Danio rerio: one gene and its partner. The protein of the gene in region 1 interacts with the protein of each later gene in a pairwise test. Links are inferred from orthologs where the notes say so. Each region holds a gene or a part of one and is shown on either strand. Other genes may lie near its edges.

Region 1 (4,098 bases):
CAGCTAGTTGGTTTATTAAGCTAGTAGTGTTAGTTTCAGTGTTTTTTAATACTGTGAATTGTGACCTAAACTAAAATGTTGCCAAATATAAACTGGTAAAAAGTATATTATTCATTCATTCATTCATTTTCTTGTCGGCTTAGTCCCTTTATTAATCCGGGATCGCCACAGCGGAGTGAACCGCCAACTTATCCAGCAAGGTTTTACACAGCGGATGCCCTTCCAGCCGCAACCCATCTCTGGGAAAGAATTCATTATTATTGTATTATTATTTTTATTATTATTATTATTATTTTTATTATTATTATGTTTAATTTTTTTTTATTGAAATGGCCAAATTGTGACAGAAAAGTTAAATGTGCTGGCCAGTTTGTTTTTGTCTAATAAATGACAGTAGGCTGCAGTTTTTTTTTACTTTAAAACTTTAACAGATTGCTATTTTTTTCTAATGATATATGATGTAATAAATTTGTATTTTAATAATTAGTCTTGTTTTATTTTTTCTTTATAGCAAGTTTTTATGAAATATTTTTTGTACATCAAAAAGTGTGGTTATGATGACATCTGACTAGCTAATCCAGCAACAACAACAAAAAAAAAATCACTAAAATGCAGTATTTAAATCTTATAGTTAAATAGAAACTGAGGCGTATAACTGCAAAAAAAAGAAAAAAAGAACCACCCCTTTCACCAGGCAAGAAATGGATGAATGAATGAATGAATGAATGAATGAATGAACGAACGAACGAACGAACGAACGAACGAACGAACGAATGAATGAATGAATGAATGAATGAATGAATGAATGAATGAATGAATGAATGAATGAATGAATGAATGGACAGATAGGCCGATAACGAATAGACTAATAGGTAGACGCATTAAAGTTACTAGTGGAATATATTATCTTGACTTGTAAGACAAAAACTTAAGTAAGAGAGAAACTTATTTATTTCATCGAAGGTTTGTTCTAACAGGTACCATCGACGTTTGTTTTGAAAATTACGTAATATATAATTCATTTCTGAAGTAACTCCAACATCACGACAATATTTATCTTTCTTTATTAACCAAAATTACTATCTGGCACTTAAATCAATACAATTGTTTATTCAAAAGTAATAAATCATTTTCATGCAGCACCCCTCTGTAAAAAAATATGGTATCTTCTGCTTCTTAAGATCGTGAGCTGGAAAAGACGCCATTTTGGATCTTGAGTATGGCGTGTTTGCGCCCGCGACTTTGTGTCTACAATGAGCCAAAATGTCCGATTAGACTCCTCAGTTTCCTAGCATGTAGACGACACAAAACGTCGCCGTGCGCGAGCTCGTGTCTGTTTCCTGTACACTAGTGAAGCAGCATGGCTTCATCTGCCAAAAGGCGTGCTGTTGAAACTGGACAAAATCCACAAGACAGCGACGAAAGCTCGGACGAGGGTCTGGAAGACTCTGGCGACGACGACAGCGAAAATTCAGAAGAAGAAGTAAACGAGGTAAGTTCCTATCCGAACTGTTTTTGCGAGCAGAAATGTCGTGATGTGCAGGCCATGCTGGCTCTGTCTGAAAAACACGTTGTTTTATGACCAACACACGTGTTTTGGTCTGCATTTAGGAGGTTATTGTGGACTTCGAAGCACACACGATCTCTGACAACGACTTTCACGGCATCAAAACCCTTCTTCAACAGGTAACGTCGGTTTATTGCAGATTATGTGGTGATTATATGAGTGTTAATTTATGAATGCAGACATAAATGTGTGTTGTTGTTTTGCAGCTGTTTCTGAAGTGTCACGTGAACACTTCTGACCTCACTGACATCATCATCCAGCAGAACCACATCGGCAGTGTCATCAGGGTAATACACTTTCATTTACCCCCCAAAATAGCTTAAATTTTACTGGTCATAACTGTGTATTTCATTCAGTTTAGATTTATTTTATGTCCATGTAGCGTACTTTTTAAATTAAGAGCCAAAAAGAAAAGAAGTAGGTACAATAATGTAAATAACGGAAAAATAAAATAGTAATGGAACAAACAGAAGTTGTAAATGGGGAAAAAGGGATTAAAATGATCAAACATATTTATATAAACACAAATAATACATCTTACTAGAGAAAATATGTACTTTGTATATTCACTACATACATTTTTTAACAAGCATGTTCACTATAATGTAGTAAAGGTTTACTATTTGCATCTGTTTTTAAGGCCTGACCAGGGGCGGACTGGGACAAAAATTCAGCCCTGGCACTGTAGCCACATCAGCCCACATTACCACACCAGCATAGCCCCACCCACGGACACGCACATTCACTATTTATTTTGATGTACAGATGGTGAAATAATGACATTCTTGCCATATTTTGATTGCGTCCGGGTAACCTCGGATTGGGTCAGCCCATCTTGAAATCAGGCGGCCGTCATAATTGGTCCAAATGCTTAACATTTATTATTATTATAATTATTAACATCATCATCATAATATCACATCTAGCAAGAGATAAAAGCTGCCTCCACGTAAAAACAATACATTTAAATAAAAACTGAACGACCCACATTTAAAAATTGGTCCAGCCCTTCTGGCATTTGCCAGAATTGCCAGATGGCCAGTCCGCCCCTGGGCCTGACAGTGTTCAAAGTATTCAGGCAAAGAAAATTTAGCATTTGTAACATTTGATTATTGAAATTATGAACCTGAACACTCCCTGAAATCCCTAAAACAGTTTATTTCACTTTTATTTTTACTTTTAATTTATTTTTTGACATTTTTATGGATAATTCACTTCCCTACAGAATCATTTCACATATTCTAAACTAATAAATTATTTCTAAATAGCAGTTTTCAAAACCGCCCAATCTGGCAACACTGAATATTGATGTTGAGCAATATACCGTGCAGCTCTACTGTAAATGTTTAATATATTTAAAACTCATTTGTATAATATTCACTAACAGTAATAATGAACATCTGTAGTTCTGCTCTGATATTGCTGTATTATAGTTTATGTGTGTGTTTTGCTCCAGCAAGCTGAAGTACCGGAGGACAGTGATGATGAGGGCGACCCGGACGAGGTGTTTGGCTTCATCAGTATGGTGAACCTCACCGAGAGACAGGTCAGACAATCATAACACACACACACACACACACTCTACTTTCTGTAGGATTGATCTGAGTTACAACAATCCCACTGGAGTTTTTAGAATATCATATTTTGCATGAGTATTTCGCATTTCACAGTGTAGTGGCTGTTAAAGTCATGCAAAATGATATTCAAGCTAAAACAAAGTTAATATTAAGTTATTTGAACATATTAAAGCATGTGGAATATAAAAGGTCATGCAAATTCAGTTTTTTAATTGGTGAGTATCTTGGAAAATTTGACATTTGGCTTAAAGTGTGATTATTATTGTTTGTTTATCAGGGTGTGGAGTGTCTGGAGAAGCTGAAGGACATGATACTGGATCAGTGTGTGAAGTGCAGCACTCCGGATGTGCAGGAGCGGATGGAGAATCTCCTGCAGGGTAACACTCAGTCTGTAGGGCTCCTGCTGAGCGAGAGATTCGTCAACGTCCCGCCGCAGATCGCTCTGCCCCTGCACAAACAACTGCAGTAAGAGTTCCCAATAGAGGGAGCGCACACACCTGCTTCACTATTACCACATATCAGTGCAGATTTCATTTTAGTTTGATATATTTTATGATTTCAAAAGTGTATATATATATGTATATCTTCTTCTTTGGCCTTAGTCCCGTATGGTTGCGGGGTCGGCTCTTTGGAACAAGTCCATATGATAACGACTTTTTTTTTTTTTTTTACACATTCCGGCCGGCCTGTCACCCTCATACACTACGTAATATGGTATACCACAGGATCTAAAAATCGCAACGGTGTCAGTTTCAATACCTTTACGCCCCATTCACACGGAGCGTCAGTGTCAATGCTTCCTAATCACTTTGAATGGGTGACGTCAGGCGTTGCCGAATTGCATTGTGGATCTGTCGGCGCCACTTCCGAGGTGCTGCTCGCTGCAGAAGTTGGGACTAGCTCAACTTTTCAAGCGCCGACGAAAGCGTCAGCCAATCATATCGCTGTAATCAA
Region 2 (3,977 bases), on another chromosome or scaffold:
GTTTTCCCTTTCTCATTATTCTAACATTATTATATTCTGTGAAAACAACTGGAGGCATGTACATTGTCCAGCCTATACAGCTGAATGCCACAAAAGTAAACAATTAGATACATAATATTGATCTGAGCTGTAAAATTTTACTGGTTATTTAACTAATTGTAAAGTTCACTAAAAGTTTACTCTTTTTTTTTTTCAACAAACAGCTCTTAAGATTTAGTCACCAAAAGGTGCCAAGCAGTCAATAACAGTAAACACACACACACACACACACACACACACACACACACACACACACACATACATACAGTACATTCAACACGCACATATATACATTTATACATTTTCAGTGGTTGTTGTCTGGGAATAACATACGTTGGAATGTCATGATTGGCATTTAATATATATATATATATATATATATATATATATATATATATATATATATATATATATATATATATATATATATATATATATATATATATATATATTTATTTATTTATTTTTTAAATACAATACATACCACACTATGGAATATGAAAAATAATTTTATTGATTACTGATCAATATGTATTCCTTTATTTGGATTCACAGGTGTCAAACAGTTTCTGGAGGGCTGCTATGTAGTCAATATATATGCAATAATTGAATTTTTCCCTTTGCAGTTAACAAACCAAATTTTTATTTCTCAAAAATGTACTTTCCCTTTGCACTTTATATATATATATATATATATATATATATATATATATATATATATATATATATATATATATATATATATATATATATATATATATATATATATATATATATATGGCCCTATATTGACTCCATAGCTGCAGATTTGCACAGTTCAACTTTAACCCTAATTAAACACACCTGATCAAACTAATTAAGTCCTTCAGACTTGCTTTAAACCCCCAGGTAAGTGTACCAAACAAAGCAGGGTTGGATCTAGACTGCGCAGAGCTGCAGTCCTCCAGGAACTGAGTTTGGCACTTTTAGAAAATTCTAGTTTTGTAATATTACCATGAGATGCTGAAGTGAATCAAGTCATACATACGACACACTAGATGGCGATGCTTTAGTTATGACGATGACGTGACGCCGGAAGCTGTGAAGTCTGTGGTGCGCGCACGCTTATATCCCATCATTCCTTTCTGTCTCTTCCTCTTTCCCTTTCAGCGACTATGTCTAAGAGAGGTAAGAAACACACATGAAAATCCGCAATCATCCTTAAAATGAGGAGCATTTAAGCCCCCTAAAGTAAAGCACAGGTTTATATGATCATGGAGGATGTGTATTTCACCCATATTGATGTCAATTCTGAATTTTAACTTGGATTAAAACAGAAATGTACACTTTCCGCTAGCAAGAGAAGCCATGTTTGCTAAGTACGCAGAGTGAAGCTCGTGGAGCCAGTGGTGGGATGTTGGAACTCTTCATATTTGAACCGTTTTGTTCGTAAGCAAGTTTTGGAGTAGAGCTTTATGATAGCAGCCATTTAAAATCAGTGAAGAGCAGCATTTGTGAGTAGTTAATTCTACAATATGCGGTGAAACCGGTAGACGCTCGTCTGAATGGTGGAAAGTGTAGTCGCACGATTGTATGTCAGGCTAACGTGTAAACGTGCACTATTAAACCAGTGCACAACGGGCTTCCACACCAGAAATTCTCCTTGAAATGTTGTCATCGTAAATATTGCGTTTGTGTTGTGTGGAGTCAAGCTTGTCCGGCAGCAAACGTCTGTTCACTTGCAACTGTATCGACAGGTACACACTTAAAGGTGTAAGTTAGGGAAATAATTCCGTACCAGACATTATTCTGCACAAGTTCAAAGCTTGTGTCATTTAATTTATCAAGTTGACAAGTCTAGGCAGAATAAGTTGTCTTCATTCGTTTTCATTTAACTTTTAATGCATCTATAGTTACTGGTGTTGACAGTTTCAATTGTTTTTTTTTTTTTTCAATGTTTTATTTCATAATTGGAAGTGAATGAATGAATTGTTGCTACTTTGGCAAGTTTTTGTTGTAGATATGCAAAATCAAAACATCAAGTGTTTTGATAGATTTATGGAGTCAGGTTAATTTAGCCAGTGTGCTATTCATGTATTATCTAAAATTTAAACCTAGTCTGTATTTTGGTGGTTTTGCTGTTTTTGTGAATTTTATTAATTTTGGTCCTCCTGTTTAGGACGTGGTGGGTCATCGGGAGCCAAGTTCCGCATCTCACTGGGTCTCCCAGTGGGAGCGGTCATCAACTGCGCTGACAACACAGGTAAGAAACTTGCCTTCGTTGATGAGACCAACTGAAATAATTTATTCCAGATTTTCATTTTTCTAAGTATTGCTTGGTTTATATTTCTTCTTAAACTCATATTTTTAATGGTTTGAAATTGTTAGAAACCAAGGCATGAACATTTCATAACTTAACTTGGACAGTTCAAACCACAGTGACGGATGTTTGAGACCTAAACAAACATGGATGGTCACCATGTCACAGCATGTCACTTTTCAGACATTACCTGATTAAACAGGAACCAAATTCAGAACGTTCTTGCAGAAGTCATTGGTCAACTAAAATGGTCTGTTGTAGTCTGAATTGGCCTTCAAGTTCTTATTAAAAAATTGTTGAAACTTCAGCTTAAAAAATCCTTTAAGTTAATTGAAGTACATTTAGTCCAACAGTAACATTTGTATTGCTTTGACTATTTTAATTTAAACTTTAATTTTTACAAGAGCTGGTGTGAATGCTTGTCTTGTGTATAGTTTCTAGCATAACATTGAAGTGCTGTTGAAGCAGCAGTTCGGAAGATTACTTAAGGCCAATTACTTTAAGTTTTGCAGTTCAATCTGGTTTCAGTCTGTAAATTATTTGAGCTTCTTGTCCTTCTTAAAAGCACTTGCTTCGTCTGCTCAGTGGCTGGGTGAGTTGTCGTGGAAGGAAAAAGTGAACCCCATTACTCTTGGGTGAGATGGCAGTCTCCACATGCTGTTTAATCTCAATCCGTGATGGAACAAATCTTTGCTTTTTCTTATTTCCAATCAGCTGAGGGTCAGCAGACATGCTGAACTTAGCTCAACGGCATTGAATATGCCAATTACAAGTTCATTTACTCAACTCTGCCTTTTCTCTCACTTAGGTGCCAAGAACCTGTACATCATTTCCGTCAAAGGCATCAAGGGTCGTCTGAACAGGCTGCCTTCCGCCGGTGTGGGTGACATGGTTATGGCCACAGTGAAGAAAGGCAAGCCAGAGCTCAGGAAAAAGGGTGAGTGCTTTCACAATTGGGCTTTATTATAGATGTTAAGTGAAAGGCTAGCATTAGACAGTCATACACCACACGAGAAGTGTTGTGCAGTGAATGTGAAGTTAAGACAAGTTCAAAATTTAATAAACTGGTAAAGGTTTGACTACGTAAATGACAAAAGGGAAGCTCAATCTTTTTAAGTTGCACTTTACAGTATGTTTTACTGGAGTTCTTTCATAAGAACATACTTTATTATTTGAGGTAACTATGGGAGGTAAGGTTAGATTCATGGGTAGGTTTAAGGATAATACCTAGTTATTACTCAGTTGTAATGACTATGATAAATCTATAGCCTATGCAGTGCACCGCATAATTGCGTACAACATTTTGACAATTAATATTTTTATTTGTATCACCAGAATATAACTATTTTTGTGCATTTTGAACCGGTTTTATCAATCCATTATGTCCATTAAAGGGCTTGGTCACAAACATCTTTAGAACTATACAGAATGCATCTAAATTTAAGTTATTACAATTTATTACAAAGTACAGTTTGAATTAAATTCAGGAGAAAACAAAAAAAATTTATTTAATTTTACCAACGTTTATTGATAACTTTTTTTTTATATATATATATATATATATATATATATATATATATATATATATATATATATATATATATATATATATATATATAAATAAATAATTTTTTAGTTA

What was found.
Region 2: the proteins of bccip (region 1) and rpl23 interact in binary tests that used the Homo sapiens proteins (3 or more experiments, as listed by UniProt). The link is inferred for Danio rerio from reciprocal best matches to the Homo sapiens genes BCCIP and RPL23.

What each region holds. Positions count from the first base shown.
Region 1 is NC_133187.1:47,448,984-47,453,081, reverse strand, and holds the start of bccip (protein BCCIP homolog), read left to right. Parts: upstream 1-1,298; 5' UTR 1,299-1,360; coding exon 1,361-1,492; intron 1,493-1,611; coding exon 1,612-1,686; intron 1,687-1,773; coding exon 1,774-1,854; intron 1,855-3,023; coding exon 3,024-3,113; intron 3,114-3,421; coding exon 3,422-3,609; exon of another isoform or gene 3,610-3,858; intron 3,859-3,971; exon of another isoform or gene 3,972-4,098. UniProt on the Homo sapiens protein: During interphase, required for microtubule organizing and anchoring activities. During mitosis, required for the organization and stabilization of the spindle pole.
Region 2 is NC_133178.1:32,233,304-32,237,280, reverse strand, and holds the start of rpl23 (large ribosomal subunit protein uL14), read left to right. Parts: upstream 1-1,177; 5' UTR 1,178-1,193; coding exon 1,194-1,206; intron 1,207-2,197; coding exon 2,198-2,281; intron 2,282-3,146; coding exon 3,147-3,275; intron 3,276-3,977.